Linked DNA regions of Drosophila melanogaster. The protein of the gene in region 3 interacts with the protein of the main gene of each other region in a pairwise test. Each region holds a gene or a part of one and is shown on either strand. Other genes may lie near its edges. The genes, in order: Pex19, Neos and unc-45.

Region 1 (5,852 bases), on a different chromosome or scaffold from region 3:
GGTGAAGAAGATATGCAAAAGCGCCGAGCGCGAGGAGTTCACAGACGTCGTGATCGTTAACGAAGATCGCAGAAAGCCCAATGGGCTGCTGGTCATTCATCTGCCCAATGGTCCCACTGCCCACTTCAAGCTGTCCAACGTGAAGCTCACCTCGGACATAAAGCGCGATCACAAGGAGATAACCAAGCACAGGCCCGAAGTGATCCTGAACAATTTTACCACACGTTTGGGTCTGACCGTGGGCCGCATGCTGGGTGCCCTCTTCCATCACGATCCCGAGTTCCGCGGCCGCCGAGCGGTGACGTTCCACAATCAGCGAGATTACATATTCTTCCGTCACCACCGCTACGAGTTCACCAAAGAGGGAAAACGCGTAAAGCTGCGCGAACTGGGGCCGCGGTTCACCCTGAAACTACGTTCCCTGCAGGAGGGCACATTCGACAGCAAGACCGGTGACTATGCCTGGATAATCAGCAACAAACGGCACGCCATGGAGTCGCGACGTCGCTTCTTCCTCTAGGTGTATTTCGAGGCATTGTATTTAGGTATAGAACTACTTAATAAACCAACAGTTAATACGAAAATAATAGCTTGATTGAAGAGAGAGGTGATAACCATTAGCGACCGCCGTATTGTTTTGTCGGTGATAAAATAAAATACAAATTTGCCTTAGCCTAAAAAATGTGCAACACTCAACAGTTAACCAATTGGCACACCACGAGACTATCGTGCTCCGTCAGCCACTACATGGTTGGGCACTGGGGACCGGGACCGCCGGCTGCTACGCCGGCAGTGGGATCGCCGAAGGGCAAGTCGCCGCCCGTCTCGGCCAGAATCTCTGGCGGCGGCTGGCCGTAGTCTTGCAGTTTGCGCATGTCGTCCAGCACGACGCGGAACTTCTCTCGCTTCACGGCGGCCGAATCCTCGGTCTTCTCGCTCTGTAAATGCCCCTCAATCACCTTGTACAGCTCCATCTGCTTCTGGTACCTGTATGTATTGGTTTCTCAATAAAAGTATCTTATTGCGAGTTGATTTCGAGCATACCTTTCCTTGTCCTCAGCGGAGAGCTTGGCGTCGTTCTCCTCGAGGTACTTGGGGTACTTCTCCAGCAGCTCCCGGATGCTGGGCAACAGAATCTCCGCCGAGAGCAGGCTCTGCATCATGCCCTCCATGAATGGTAGGAACATGTTTCCATCACCCTCGCCAGCCTGTCAAACGGGGATTGTTTAATGATTGAGCAAGGAGAATTCATATTTCATTTTCAGGATGCATACCCCTTCAAGATTCAGTGAACCAAACATGCTGGCTATGTCGTTCTCCGAGGCGGGAGCAGCCAGGTTCTCGGAGCCCTCTTGCAGACCCTTGAGAGCCTGGGAAATGCTATCAGAATACTTGGAGACATCCTCGTCGGTGGCCGAATTTTCGCCGCTCAAGGTGAGCGCTGCCGCTTCGGCCATCTTTTTGAAACCGGCCATGATCTGGTCGGGATCCTGGGGCAGCGGCGGAATATCGCCACTGGGCGTGTCCGGACCTCCGAAGAGCGTGTTCATGCGATCGGCCAGCACCTTGGCCTGCTCACTGAAGGCGGATAACAGGTCAGAATACAAAGTTCAAGTGCCGCGTTGCACTGGCGCATTGACTCACATGAAAAACGCATCTGGATCCTCGGAGCCCTCAGGTCCAGCGTTGGTCGCCACATCCGATGATGCGGACGGCTCCTTTTGGTCACCGGCACCACTTTTATCGAAATCCTGGAGAGCACCTGTGCGAAAAGTGGACGACGCAGTGCGCATTATGTAAGGGGTCGAGAAGGGATCGCCAAAGGCATTTCCGGGCTGTACTCACTGTCCAGCAAGTCGTTTAATTCATCGCCATTCTTCTTTTCTTCGGACATTGTGCAATTTCGGGATGCTTTTCCTTGATTTCGTGGTGGGTGGGAAATGGTAAAAAATAAAGACTGACTGAATCAATCAGTGGGACCGTTCATCTGCTGCTGGTGCATACCGCAGTCAGCTGAACAGGTGTGGCTACACTGACTCACATCTTAGTGCGACCGCATTCGTAACGGCTTTTTAAAAGGATGCGAAATGATAAGAAAAAAATTTAAAAATTAACTTTTCTATATAATTGTTGGTTTTAATTTTAAGATTTCAGTTTCGGTTAGGGCTTAGACAAAATTCATATTACTTAAACAACTTTTAAATGCATTTAATGTTTTTTTTAAGAAAAATAGCTATATTTTGTTTAATTTTTAGTAAATATATTCCTTAAATTAAGAATTCTTATTTGTTACTATTATATAAAGTTCAAAACAAGTTCAGAATACCTATTTCGAAATAATCTGGAATGCATTATTATTGTGGACTACACATAAGTGTGAAAATGTCTAGCCATTTAATTCATATAACATATATTTATTGTCAATGAAAATTTCGAGTTTTGATTTAGAAAATTATATGTCTTACAACAACAAGTCATCAGTACACCCATCTACAATATAATAGTGTACATATTTAAATCTAGGCCTACATCAGACTAATAAACTTAAATTCGAAGCACCTCAATATCCCTCCTGTCTTGAGAGACAAACCAAGGACATTAGTCGAAGATTATCTAAAATAATCACCCAAAATATTTACGCATCTTCTGCGAAACTCTCAGCCAATCTCCCCGGGAATGGCACCTCGCTGTGCGCGGACGGAGATCGGCGACCAAACTGCGACCAGAGCCCAAACCGCACATACTGAGTGGTGAGGGAGGGGTCGCAAAACCATCAAGGTCACGGCGCGACGCTGATGCGCGACCAATTCCGAAACCAGAACGTCACACCCATGGACGGGACACATGGATTTTGCAGTAGGGCGTCCAGCTCTAGGTCCACTCCCGCCCGAAGGTCACCGCTGCGGAGGAACCCCGCTTGGTTTCCTCAATTCCGCTCATATGGTCAAATGGCTGGGCTGGGATGGGCTGTGCTCTTTGCGACTTTAACCGCACGGTTTACCAGAAGAGCAAAACGAATCTTCGATTCGGTACGCCCACGCAGCGAAGTATTGTGGTAAATTTGTGTTTTTTCCTCTATTTCCACTATTGGGGCGGAGTTTTCTTCGGTCAGTCGGTTCTCTGAAAATGTCAGCATGGGCGGAGCTTCGACTGAAATAATGCATAATTTGGTGTTTTATTTTGCGGCTTAGGGTGGAACAAACCGCCTGAAACTCTTACATTTCCTACAGAAACAGGGTAATTTGACTTTTTATGGGCTGTAATCCATTTACAGAATATGCATACATATAACATCAAAAATTTCCCTAAAAACCATAACTCTCTTTTTAGGGAAAAATTTCATTCTCTATTCGCTGCGAACATCAGAGTATATAGTTCAACTTCAAATTTCTTAGAACCCAAGCAGTTCAGTTCAAAAAGTCAAGACAACCGTCAAAAAGTCAAAACAAAAGTCGAAAACGTAAAAACCCCTTCGTTGGCCAAAACAATGGTTTTTGGGTCACACTCACACCCGATCCCAATAAACCAAGAAACTCGCTCTTTTTTGACATAATTTTTAAGGCACCAACAGGCGCGTCATAAAGTTGTTTATTCCGATATAATCGGTTTGCTAGACTAGCTGAATTTACCTGAATCTCCAGCTCTATTTCCCCAGAAGAGGAAGGATTCCAACCGTCATAAAATGCCCATCAGCGTCTTCACAAGCATCTACACTTCCCTTCCTTTTTGCAGGAACTTTGCCAGGATACGATCCTGTACATCCTTTTCATATGCTGACTGCGATTTCACGCTCGCTGATCGCATCGCTATTTTTTTCAACATTTCCGCATCCTTCCAGCGAAAGATGCTCGATTTTACGATGCACTGAACAGGATATAATGGATTTCGCGATTGTTCGGTAATGACGATGATTGCGACTTTATAGACACATTATTTATATTGTGGCTGGTGTCGTGTGGCTATGGTAATAAAGTGTAAATAATAAGTATATATAAAGGAGTAAATAAATTAAGACACTAAATATATGTAATATATATGTAATATAAAAGGAATAAAAGTTCTTTAAAATAAAAAAATTATACTAATTAAATTAAACTCTGATTCTAGAAATCTGAATGTTACATTACATTCAAAATAACTTGTAGCTTTAGTACACCTTGTATTAATCATTCAAGTATCACAAAATATAAGATATTTATATATGTTTCGACATATTTTTGTGTCTGGCCAGGATGGCATTATCTTTTGATATTTTGGCCATGGTAATTGCGATTACAAGGCTCCCAGTCATTCCTGGAAAACGCTCACTTTTCCTTTGAAATCCTGCCCCGAAAAGAAGAACTGGAGAAGTCAACTGCTGGCAGCTTCCCGAAAGACAAGACACCCACATCCACCATCCAACATACAACATCCACCATCAACCATTGCGCAATGGGGCGAGCTCTTCATGCTCCGACACCCATCGCTCTCCATCAAAGTGGCCATGCAAATGAGCCCTTGCGTCTGCCATACGTTTTCCTCTAGAGGATTGGGTCGAAGGGTAGCCGACTCCAGATGATGTGGGTTGCTCTGTCTGTGCCCCCCCAGTCGCTGTTCTGTTTGATTAAGCGGAAATTAAGTGTGCGTTTCGGTTGCAGCCTCCCAATTCGCCATGCCCTGCTTTTTTTTTATCGTGAACTGCAGCACATATATGTTTTATGTTTCCCAATCGATTTGGTGGCTCAAGAGCTGCTTTTGGCTTCCTCAGGTCAAATAGTTTTTATTACAGTGGTTAGGAATTACTCCCAATTAAGTTTCATAGAAATTATAGATTGCTAAAACATAAAACCACTTCTAAGTAGGACATCATGAGAAACTTTTTAAGCTCTTCGCATAAAACTGAAGATTCTTTCCCACTAATGTATAAATAATCACGGTCTCTGCAGTCAATTTTTCCATTGGCAATGCATTTTTTTTAATAGAAAACGCCGACCGTAGCCAGTGATTAATGAAACAATTGAATGATTTTATTTAAATTCGCATATATCCGATGCAAACCGTGGCTAATGGACAAACGCCGCCGAAGAGAAGATCCAACATCTCCAAATCGAGATTCCATAGAAACACTCGGGATGTGAGAAAAACGCCACCTACTTTGTGGACTCTACGCCGAGAAAACTAATGATGTTCTTTCGCCATCCATCGAGTTTGTCCATTATAGTAGAGTATATGATCGATCCGCGATCGAACCTGATCGACTACCACAAAGCAGGGCAATTACAAATCGGGGAACTGGACAACAGGTTGCCGGCTGAGTTGGGAAATATGGATGTGGATGTGGCTCTGTGACTCTGGATGGAGATGGAACCCGGCCGGAAAACAAATTAATCTTGTTGACGTCGCAGCCTCGTCACTTTCTTCGCCAGGTCGAGGGCCCAGGTGTTTGATCTCGACCTGATGCTCCGATGCTACGATCTTCTGTTGGACAACGATGGGTTGCGCCTACATTTGCGCCTTCTGTTTAATGATCAATTTGTTGGCCTCCGTCGCCGTCTCTCAGATGTGTGCCGACAGCGTTTAGCAGTCGATTGGGCTCGGGATTGGTTTGTTTGTGCCCCGAGTTGCCGGGTTTGTTGTGCCCCAGGCTAATGAGTTTCTCGAAAGTGGGTGTATGTGGCAGGGGCTCCCCTTTTTGCCCCTGGGACACTTCCTACATGATCGGCGAAAATTCAGCCAGACTCTGTGACGTCCCAATACACAGGAAGATAATCCCTTTCAACTAACTAACTATTTATTATTTAATTTATAGCTTCTTCATTCTTATACATTTAGGTACTGAAAAATATATATTCTTAAGCAATAATTATACAGAA
Region 2 (3,931 bases), on a different chromosome or scaffold from region 3:
ATTGAATTCCATCTACAGCAAAGTGACCTGCCTCAACCATGCCAAATCCACCAGCGTGCAGGGCAAACTTAAGAAGGTGCTTGGCGTGCAGCCGCACGATCAGCCGATTATTAACTACTGGAGCACACACCTTCACTAGTACAACCGATTACCGCACAGATTAAGGACTTTCTTTTTCACCTTTTGGAATAAAACTCTTTTATTGCCGTGCGATGGCGAGAAAAATCATTATCTTAACCAAAAGGATGCCGAATCCAGTCCAGTCAGCCAGTCGCTTACTTCTTGTAGCCGCAGCTGGAGCGACGACCACGAGCACGCTCGAACTTGCGTCCCTTAGAGCGGACATAGGGGCGGGTGTGCGAGTGGGGCACACCGGGAGCCTTGCCGAAGTGCTTGCAGGCGGTGCGGGCGGTACGCCTGCCCTGCAGCAGCAGCGTGTTCTTGCCGGTGGGCGATCGGAGAGCCAGTTGATCGAAGGTCAGGACCTCACCGCCGGCCTTCAGGATGCGCTCCCTGGCGGTCTGCGTGACGTGCAGGGCGCACACGGTGAGCTTGGGCACCACCAGGAGGCGGGCATCGTCGGTGACGGTGCCGACGACCACGATGGTAGACTCCGGCTGGTTGGCGGCCTTGAAGAAGCGAGCGATGCGCTGAAGCGATAGCGGCGGCCTGTTGATCTTGCTCATGAACAAACGCTTCAGGATGATGCGGTTGAACTTCTTGTTGGTGCGGCGCTGAAGGAAGCGGTACAGCTGCGGGGGCAAACAAAGAAAAAAAAACAGATTAATCTCCACATTCAGCTGGTAGTCAACGCCATCGAAAGCCTCACCTTGACCAGCAGGCGCAGGTACACATCCTGGGATTTGGGCTCGGTTCTGCGAACCTTGCGATCGTACTTGTGGTTGATATCAATACCCTGCAAACGAAACACACGTATTAGAACTGGTGTTTATGATCGGAAAAACAATTGGTCGGCATTCGAGCGTATGTTTACTACATATCCATGGAACCGATCAGTTAAACTGCTTATTTCATGGTATTTTAGCTTCACAAACTAGATGCCGCCCACACAAATTTGTTTTTATTTCATTCCGTCGCCAGGAAGCTTCGCAATGCACGTGGGCTGAGCCACAGTTGGCGTTTTAGGTTATTTGTCAGTTTCCTGCTGGAATCATTGCCGCACTTTTATCGGTAACCCACCATTTCTTCTGTTGAATGTATTAATCAACGCTAAAATAGAGAATTGGACATTAATTTAAGCTAAAAACGTGGAGCATCAATTTCTTGCACGTACCTCGCCGGAAACGAAAGCCAAAAGAAAGAAAATAGTGTGGCTGCACCGATCACAAGCAAGACGCTAAAATATCCAATTGTGCTGTTATGATAACAGCGTGCTGTTAAGGCGCAAGCTTCATTTATTTTCTAAGCGATATCCTAAGTTTATAAACAAAATTTCTAGCATTAATAATACTGTGGGTAAAACTTCCAAACCTCTAAATCAAATTAAAACAAAATTATATGTGAAAGCTCTTATTTGCTTGATATACAAGTGTGGCAACGCCGCTAATAACATCATTAGTATGACCATAGGATTTTTTTTTAATATTAGGGGGGTACAACAAAATATTAATAGTATCTGATTTTTTACATGGCATTTTTGTAAATTGAATTTCTAATAAGCAAGTTAATGCAAGAAGGTTCGGAAATCAAGCGACCCTTTTTTTTTATTAAAACTGATGCCAATTCTGAATAATAACTATTCAGCGGTGTGTATTTTTGCATTGCCTCGTCGGGTCACACTAGAATCTTCAGTTTCGGGTTTGTGTGCAGTAGAAAGCTTCAAATATCTATGTCTGATCCAGGAAGCGCCGGCTACAACATAACCAAGGATCCGGCCCTGGCAAAGAGTCGAATCTTCTTGGGCAACCTGCCGGTTTGCACGCGCGAGGAGCTGGTGAGCATTTGCCAGCCATATGGCAAAGTGCTCGGTTCGATGGTCCAGAAGAACTACGGATTCGTGCAGTTTGAAACGGAGGAGCTGGCCAATAAAGCCGCCTCCGCCCTGCACAAGTCCACTTTTAAGCAAAACATGCTCACCGTACGCAACGCCAGCATTAAATCGAAGGCGGCCAATGCTATCGCCAAAAGAAATTCAAATCAAGGAGGCCAGGTGACAGTTCAGGGTGGACTTGTGATGTCAGCGGCGGCAGCGGCAGCAGGTCAACCCCTCATCAATGATTGCGAGATCATAGTCCAAAATCGCGAGAATACGTAAGTTATGATCCCCAATACCTTATAACTCCAGACGATACTCATGGCTTTCATTACCTGCAGCAAATACGCAGAATACATTGAGGAGCGGCTAAAGAATTCCAGTCTGCGCGTGGATGTACTCTTTCCCAACGAGGACGTCTTGCTAGGCAAGGTCCTGGCCAACATCTCTTCGCGCGGCTGCTTGTATGCGGTATTGGTCACGCCGCAGCACGAGGAACACAACAGCATCACAGTAAACATTTTGTATGGCGTACCCGCTGAGCATCGCAACATGCCGCTGGAGGACGCCATCACCCTGATCTCCACCGATTTTAGGCTCAAAAAACAGCGCGACGCTGTCGTCTTACCGCCGTCAACATCCATACACAAGGGACAGCGACGACATCCCCAGGAAATGCAGGGGCTGCTGGAAAGGCTGGCAGACAATCATCCATTGACCGCGTCGCAGTACGAGGTGATTCTTAAGTACCTCGAAGGCGAACGCGAGGAGCAACTGAAGCGAGAGGTGGGCGAGGCCAATGCTCTGGCCAAGCTAAAAGCTCCCGATCCAGAGATCGAGCTGCAGAAGAAGATTCTTAGCATCATGAACAAGCCGGCAGTAACCGATGTCACCAGCGAGCTCATGTATCCCACTTTCGAGGCAGTCAAGGAGGACAGAAGGCTAATGGAGCTACTTGCTGACGATCGAGTGTTGGCGGCCCTGGAAAGTGTTTACAACTCGGATCTCAGACAGATTTTAGCCGAGTATTTATAGACTACCAATACTTAGTAGTATTCATTAATTTTAGCCATTAAGCATATTTAACATTTAATAAATGTAATACCTAATATATATGACGTAAATCTCGGGCTTCCAGAATGCATTTAATAAGTGTAAGACATTAACAACTAACAATTGGCTGTTTCTAAGGCCAGGATCGCTTGGCTTCGTGTCCCTCGTACTTTCCACGGTACTTGAGACCGGTGACTAGGGTGGAGCTCTTGGGGAAAGCCGTTTTGCCGTCGAATTTGGTATCTGTCTCGGGATGGAATCGCACGTACTCGTACTGGATGTGCAAATTCTCCGGCAGCTCGATGCGCTTCAGTGCATCAAACGGCACGGTGGTGTCCACAGCTGTTTGGTAGAAAGCGATAACATCGCTGACGGTGCGCAGTTCATGTACCTGGGAGTTGGGCACTCCGTGCTGCAGCTCCTGGAAGCACGCGTTCAGGAATTCGAATTTCTCGGAGAGATTCCCCAACTGGTCGGATTTCAGTTGAAGCGAGGCGGCTACGGTTCGAATACGTTCGGCGGCATCTGCAGGTGGGGAGTACGGCTTATGGGGACGCAAGAAGCTACAATCAGGAGAATATTTACTTGGTTTTTATGTAAATAAATTAAAGAAAGTGCTTACCCCTTGGCGGCGATGGACTCGCCGACAGCTGAAATGGTGCTGGTTTTGACGGGCTTTGCTTTTGCGGCCTTGGCGGCGGAGGCAAAACTCCTATGCAGGCTTCCCGCAAGCTAAATTCATGGTGGCATTGGATTTTAAGTGAACATTTTTATTATTTTTTACTTACAATTAGGGTTTTACGTAAAATCGCTGCCATTGGATGTGACCAGATTGAAAACAATGCGGCATGGCAGTCAATACTGAAAATATATTCACTATACTTA
Region 3 (6,506 bases):
ATTTGTTGCGCCGCATCGCCTGGGGGGGGGTAATTTGCATATTTTCCGCATGCGCAGACGACTCGAGTCGGCCAGTTTATTAAACAAAAATATTGACATGAAAATCGGCTTTCGATTTCCACGGGACAAATTGGGCGGCACCAACTGTGTTGCACCACACTGAACCGCACCGCGCCACCAAACCGAGATTAAATGGAAAGTGAAGATGCACATATGTACGTCGCCAATCAAGCCGATGAAGCTCTAAGCCAGTGCTTCCGATCCACAGTCTTAGCAAACTCTTTGCCACACGGTCTGTGTCTGTCGTCTGTGTAATTAGGACAAAATGTCTCATTTTGACCAATGCCGAAAAAGTAAATACAACCGAAACCGAAAGTTTCTGCTTCTTGGGGATTAAGTCTGGGATTATTTTCTTTATTATCGATTTCTCAAATGGAAGAAGAGTGTACATTTATTATGAAGTAGCCGAAAAACTCGATTTTCAATATTAAACAACGCTATAGAAATGAATTTCAATTTGCTAATATATTTCCACGGAAATATCCTTTTTACATTTTTTAAAATGTCTTTTTTTACCATTTTTTAAAATGTTTATTCCCCTAACTTAATTGTTTTTATACACCAATTTTTTAAATATATTGCCAAGCATTAGTTTGTTTCCTTCTGGGGTCTTACATCAACATATTTTATTTCAGCTTATATCCCTTTAGCATATAAGGGTCCTGAAGAATTCATCTTCCTCATTACTTTACCTTCTAACCACGTTATTTATATTGGTCAAATTGAGCACAGTATATGGTTTAAGGAGAAGAGGAAAATGCGAAATAATCGCGGGAAAAGGAATGCCAAATGGCCAAAGACAAAAAGCGGGATGGATTTCGGAATAAATGCCGTTAAGTCATGGCAACCGAATCATAGCAACCGAAACCCTCGGCCATTTCCCACTGCGCTGAGCCAAACTAAATTAAAGCAACTATTATTTATTTAATCACACTTCATTGAGATTGAGCAATCAGCTGGAAGAGATGCTCGGCTCGGAATTCCCGGCTACCTGACACTGCAACACTGCCGCATCAGAAGCATCTTCTGCATTAGAGGAAGTCAGCTACCTCGAGCTGGCGACTAATGTGTGGCAATGAATAGAAAACGTACCGAGGCAGTGCACCGGGGAAAATGGAGTCGGTGGGAAAACACTAGGCCATCCTAGTGGCCATCCATATTACAATCCAAATCACATTAGGCCGCAGCAATTAGGCTTGGATTAGGCTTGGTCTGTATTAAATTAGTTAAATTAAAAAATCGCGTATTCATGAAATAACTAAATAATATATTATATTACCCACTAAGGAATAAAACAAACTACCTTTAAAAACGAAATAAATTCGAACAATATTTATAAAACAGTTAAGTACATTTGATATTTTGAAAAATAAGTTAAATTTCGCGATGACACTGTGAGTAAAGTAAAGAAGATGAAATGGAGGAAAAACAAAAGGCACTACAAACGAATTTCGCTTAATCATCGATAATCTCAGATATTTTCGAATTTTCGGCAAACACATCGGGGATTTCCGCGTTGTCGGACCGCTCGATGATCCTATAACGCTCCGCCGCCGCCAGGCACTGGGTGGCCACCTCTCGGGCCTTGGCACGCGTGTCATCGGGCAGCTGCCCCAAACCGCTCAGCAGTTCCATAATGTCCGTTTCAAACAGCTTTTTGGCGATCTCCTCTCCAGCATTGATCATGTTTAGAATAATCACAATGCCTCGATGCTGGACCGCCGGACTGGGATTGGCGATCAGAGTGTGCAGAATGTCCAGCCAGCTGGCGATGGCCAAGATCTTCTCACAGCACTTGACAGACACTGAAGTAATAATGGCCAGAGCTCCGGCACAAGCTGTTGCGGTCTCCTCGTCCTCATCCTCGCAGAGAAGCGCCAAGAACTTCACTCGGTCGTTATTGCCCTCGAACATTTTAATGACATCCTCACTCATAACCAGATTACACAGACACTGGGCAGCTGCACGAGTCAGGTACAGATGGTCCTCCATCAGATAATACTCTATCTTGGAGACCCCCTGCTCCTTGATAATCCTCTGGCGCACGCTCTCGTTCATGCTGGCTAGATTGGTGAGTGCCATTAGCGACTCAAAATTCTCCAGCGCTGTGCAGTCCTGTTGCAAAAGGTTCAACAAAGGACGGATTACATCAAGCGATCGCTGGCCACTGAAAGATACTTCCGGATTAATGGTTATGCCAATCCTAGCCAACGCCTGGGTAGCATGGCGTTTTCCTTTCTCAGTTCCCTCAAGCGCCATACGAAGCAGCGCCTTAACGCCGCCTTCTTGAACCACTTTTCCTCGCAACTCTTTCAGTCCACAAACCGCATTCAAAACCCTGGCAATCAGCTCCTGTGAATTGTGGCTTTCAGTTTTCGCCAGTGCACAAAGAGCAGTTGTTATGCCCTCATTTGCCAGCACAGTAATACGCTTATTGATGAAATCTACGTCGTCCAGCTCGTGCTCCTCCGGTATGTGTTGCTTAGCAAACTTGGCAAGTTCTATCATCTCAGGCAACATCTCCTGCTTCTCATACGCATTGCACAGATTCACAAAAGTAGTGACCACACCATAGAGACAGGACTGATTTCCTCCGCGGGCCAAATCCATTAAAGCGTGAATGGAAGCCTTATCCTCAATGAGCTTCTCCTTACATTCAGCATCCAGTGTTAAATAAGCCAGACCATCGGCAGCCCAACGACGGATATCCTTATCCTTTCCAGGTTTGATCAAAAACCGACGGCATGCCTCCGCCAGCTTAAGGGCAGCTCCATCGCCAAATGGTCGGATGGCCGCGTCCTGACCGCCGTAGCTACCCAGCTTGCAAAGACCCACCAGGGCGCGTACTCTAATACCATCGTTCTTGGAGTGGTAGAGCCGCTTTAAAATATCTACTCCCTGCTCACAAAGAGCCTTGGCCTTGTCCTTTTTAGAGGAAGCGGCGATTAGGCACTCACATGATACTCGCTGCTGCAACTCATCGTCGGTCGTAGCCATTGCTAGAATCATCTGCAGTATTCCTGTTACAAATTTCACCATTAATTAAGTACCATTTTCTAAATCCAATAACAGAACTCACCTTCTCTGGCCACAACCTGATTGCCCACATCCAATGGACCGTTAAGCAGGGCAGTAATCGCAACGGTGACCCGCACCTTGGATTCCATATCAGGCGCCAAAAGCTTGTCCTTAATGTATTCGTCGATCTGGTCCGTGAACCGTGCCTTAGCTTCATCGTAGTACATGTTCTCATATATCCGGGCCAGACAAACGGATGCAATTGTGGATGATGAGCCTGTGATATCCATTGCACTCTCGTACTTATAATCCTCCAGTTCGGAGCACACATCCAGCAGACGGCACAGTCCCCTGATCTCAACCAGGCGTTCGGCCCATTCTAGAGCTGTGTAGTGGACATTCCTGGTTATAAGCTCAATAACGCCATCCCTAGCTGCTCCAGAAATCGTGCGATCCGTGATACTATAAACTAGGCATGTTAGGAGAGTGTCAATTTCCCGGTTGTTCCTAGTGCACAGCTCCTTCTCCGGCTTCGAATCGGGTTTGTTCTTAAGCCCAGACAATGCGTTCAATATTGTTTGTAGGCAAAACTGGGCGGTGGACACACAGTTCTCGTGTTTTTGGTCGAGAACCCTCATGAACCACGGTACTCCGAGTTCAGTTAAAACGCCCTTTGTACGCTCGACGCTATTTTCGCAAAGAGCAGCCACCAAATGCACCATATTCACATAAATGTCCTGATCCTTTTCCACCTTTGTTAGTGAGGCCACTTTGGCGATGCAGTGGTCCTTGTAAAGCAGTTCAGCGCCAGTCTGCTCTTTGGCCAAAACTACTAGGTTATTGGCTGCCGCGCGACGCTTATCGATGGGCGTGGCCAAATCAAAAGTAAGATCCATCATCTGCTTGACTTTTGTGGATGTCTTGGCATTACGGGCAGAGCGCTCTTCCACGACGACATGAAGCCTCTGGAGCATGGGCTGTACGGTTTTGTTGCCGGGATCCGCTTTAAACAAAGCGGTTGCGTCTTTGTAGGCCTCTTCGAACTTCTCCAGAGCTTCGTACGCCTGAGCCCTACGGAACAGTGCCTTGGGATCCCCCGGAGCCGCTTTCAAAGATTCAGTGCAGTCCTCTACCGCATTTTCATACTTTCCTAGCTTCAGATAAGCGGCAGCACGATTCTTATAGAAAACCGCCAGCTCCTTGTGCTTAGAGCCCGCCTTAATGGCTTTGCCATAGTGCTCCACTGCCTCCTCCCAGCGGGAGGCCTTGAACGCCTCGTTGCCCTTATCTTTGTAGCTTCCTGCGTCGGACACTTCCTCGCTGTTGATGGTGTTTGTCATGGTTACACAATTTTCTGTATAAAAAGACAAAAACTGTAGCTGCAACTTTTTATTGTTAACGGATGACTCACTATTCAGTTCGGTTTTGTGCCTTCTGGCCTAAATTTCGACCACCAGAAACTTCTCGATCGCTCTCGAATACACACAGATACAGTTGCAGGCGTTTAGCGGGAAAATCAAGCACGCTGCGTGAGACTATTGAACCGGCTGCTGCCCTGTTCTATATATAAATAAAAATTGAGAAGACTCAAACCAAAATAGTTGCAACAGTTGCCATTCGCAGCGAATCGGCCAAACAGCTGACTGGAACCGTGGAGCTTACGTTTTGCTTTTTTCATCATAGCCCAAACAGCTGACGAATTTCAACTTTACTAAAGTCTTAAATTTTTAACTAAGCCAGGGATTACAAATATTTTTCTGATATATCTGTAAAAACTTTTTTGAAAATCATTTATTCTGTAAATATTTTCAAAATCTATCTTTTATAAATTAATCAATTACAAGCTCTTTTTCCTCTTTCAGCTAATTTTTTGCTGTACCTGCACCATTGGTTCAGAATACTATCGATCTATCGATAACAACGATGGCGAGGGTGAACAAGTTCAAGTTCAAACAGCTGATTCGATTTGTTTTTAATTTTCATGTGATATAACGAAACCAAAACAAGTGAAGCGGGCGAAAGAACACATCCAAGATGTACCAGCACAGCCCAATGTTGTGGCGACCTCTGCTTCTGCTGCGTGGCCTCTACCTCAGTCAACGCCACCAGATGAGCCACTACGACGCACTGGGAATCAGGCGTCAGTGCACGCAGAACGAGATCAAGGCAGCTTACTATAAGCTCTCGATGCTTTATCATCCGGACAGGAACCAAGGAAGTGAGAACGCAGCCAAGAAATTTCGGGAGATCAATCAGGCTTATGAGATTCTGGGAAATTACCGGCTGCGTCGACTTTACGACAAGGGAATCGTACATACGGCAGGCGCCCAATATGCCCAAGATGTCCACGATGTAGCGGAACCCGTAGTCGAGGACGATGCGGAGACTAAGTTTTACAAGTCGCGATTTCAGAAATCGCGTGTATCTGATTCTGCGGGCCGTACGCCCATCTATGACTTCGACGAGTGGTCGCGAAATCACTATGGTAAATCATTTGACCGGAGACAAGCCGCCCAGGCCAAATACGATCGAATAAAAGTGCAAAGGGAGACCAACAGAATATCAGGCCAGACTGACATGGTCCTGCTGGCCTTTATCTTTGCCGGAGTGGCCGTATACCTGATGTTCCTCGCCGAAAGCTCCTACGACACTCCCAAGCAGAAAGCGAAGGAACGATACAGACGCGATCAAGAAGAGCGAGAACAAAAACTAGTCGGGAAGCAATCTTAGAATTCTCTAGTCTTCAGCGTACATAGACTTAAGTTAAATGAATTAAATTCGAAACAATATAATTTTGTGAATTAAAGATGTGTCCGTTTTACTTAAGATGAATAGCAGCGGGACTTATACATATGTATATAAACATCCAACGGCATTGTAATATCCTTAATCTGACTCAAGATCTAAAACATATAGACAAAGCCGCAATTAGAGATTAGGTCTGTCACTAATTTTAAATGTAACAACTTTATTCAAAATTTGCCGCTGCGCTTGCGTGCAGTGTACTTTGTGTCAGGACGGGTTTCCAACCCCTGGCGACGTCGACGCTCTTTCTTGGCTAGGATCCAATCGCGGGATTTCTTTGGCGCTTTTCCCCGAGCCTCACGGCAAGCATCACGTTTCTTTATATAGTTTACACGACGTTCCTCTTCAGGTGAGCCTACAAAAGCAAAGAAAAATGATGTGAAAGTAATTATTAGTTTTCTATAATTATTATTATTAAAACTAACCCAAAGCCTGCGGCAGCTCAGCAGATCCTCCAGTCATGAGCACCAGGTAGTACTTCTTAGCCTTGGCAGAGTTTGGATAGTCGACAACCAATCCTCCGTAGAATCCCGCCTTCATGGCTTGCGAGGTTACCATCTCGATCTGATCGGAGTTCTCCGGATAAAATTGAAAGACAGCTCGCGCGGTGCGTGTCAGACAGG

Evidence for each region.
Region 1: the proteins of unc-45 (region 3) and Pex19 interact in a two-hybrid assay, tested with the Drosophila melanogaster proteins (one large-scale study listed by BioGRID).
Region 2: the proteins of unc-45 (region 3) and Neos interact in a two-hybrid assay, tested with the Drosophila melanogaster proteins (one large-scale study listed by BioGRID).

Annotation. Positions count from the first base shown.
Region 1 is NT_033779.5:12,089,904-12,095,755, reverse strand, and holds Pex19 (peroxin 19), read right to left. Parts: upstream 3,935-5,852; 5' UTR 3,630-3,934; exon of another isoform or gene 3,398-3,629; intron 2,069-3,397; 5' UTR 1,895-2,068; coding exon 1,846-1,894; intron 1,763-1,845; coding exon 1,645-1,762; intron 1,579-1,644; coding exon 1,275-1,578; intron 1,209-1,274; coding exon 1,045-1,208; intron 988-1,044; coding exon 744-987; 3' UTR 521-743; downstream 1-520. Other genes in the region: CG6712 (uncharacterized protein), read left to right, coding at 1-520.
Region 2 is NT_037436.4:7,240,026-7,243,956, forward strand, and holds Neos (neosin), read left to right. Parts: upstream 1-1,602; 5' UTR 1,603-1,849; coding exon 1,850-2,271; intron 2,272-2,334; coding exon 2,335-3,028; 3' UTR 3,029-3,114; downstream 3,115-3,931. Other genes in the region: BHD (Birt-Hogg-Dube), read left to right, coding at 19-139; RpL18 (ribosomal protein L18), read right to left, coding at 276-752, 830-916, 1,201-1,203; mRpL50 (mitochondrial ribosomal protein L50), read right to left, coding at 3,180-3,609, 3,669-3,778, 3,835-3,864.
Region 3 is NT_033777.3:8,031,514-8,038,019, reverse strand, and holds unc-45 (uncoordinated 45), read right to left. Parts: upstream 4,720-6,506; 5' UTR 4,490-4,719; intron 4,433-4,489; 5' UTR 4,419-4,432; coding exon 3,140-4,418; intron 3,081-3,139; coding exon 1,516-3,080; 3' UTR 617-1,515; downstream 1-616. Other genes in the region: CG11035 (uncharacterized protein), read left to right, coding at 5,113-5,808; CG10903 (uncharacterized protein), read right to left, coding at 6,051-6,238, 6,309-6,506.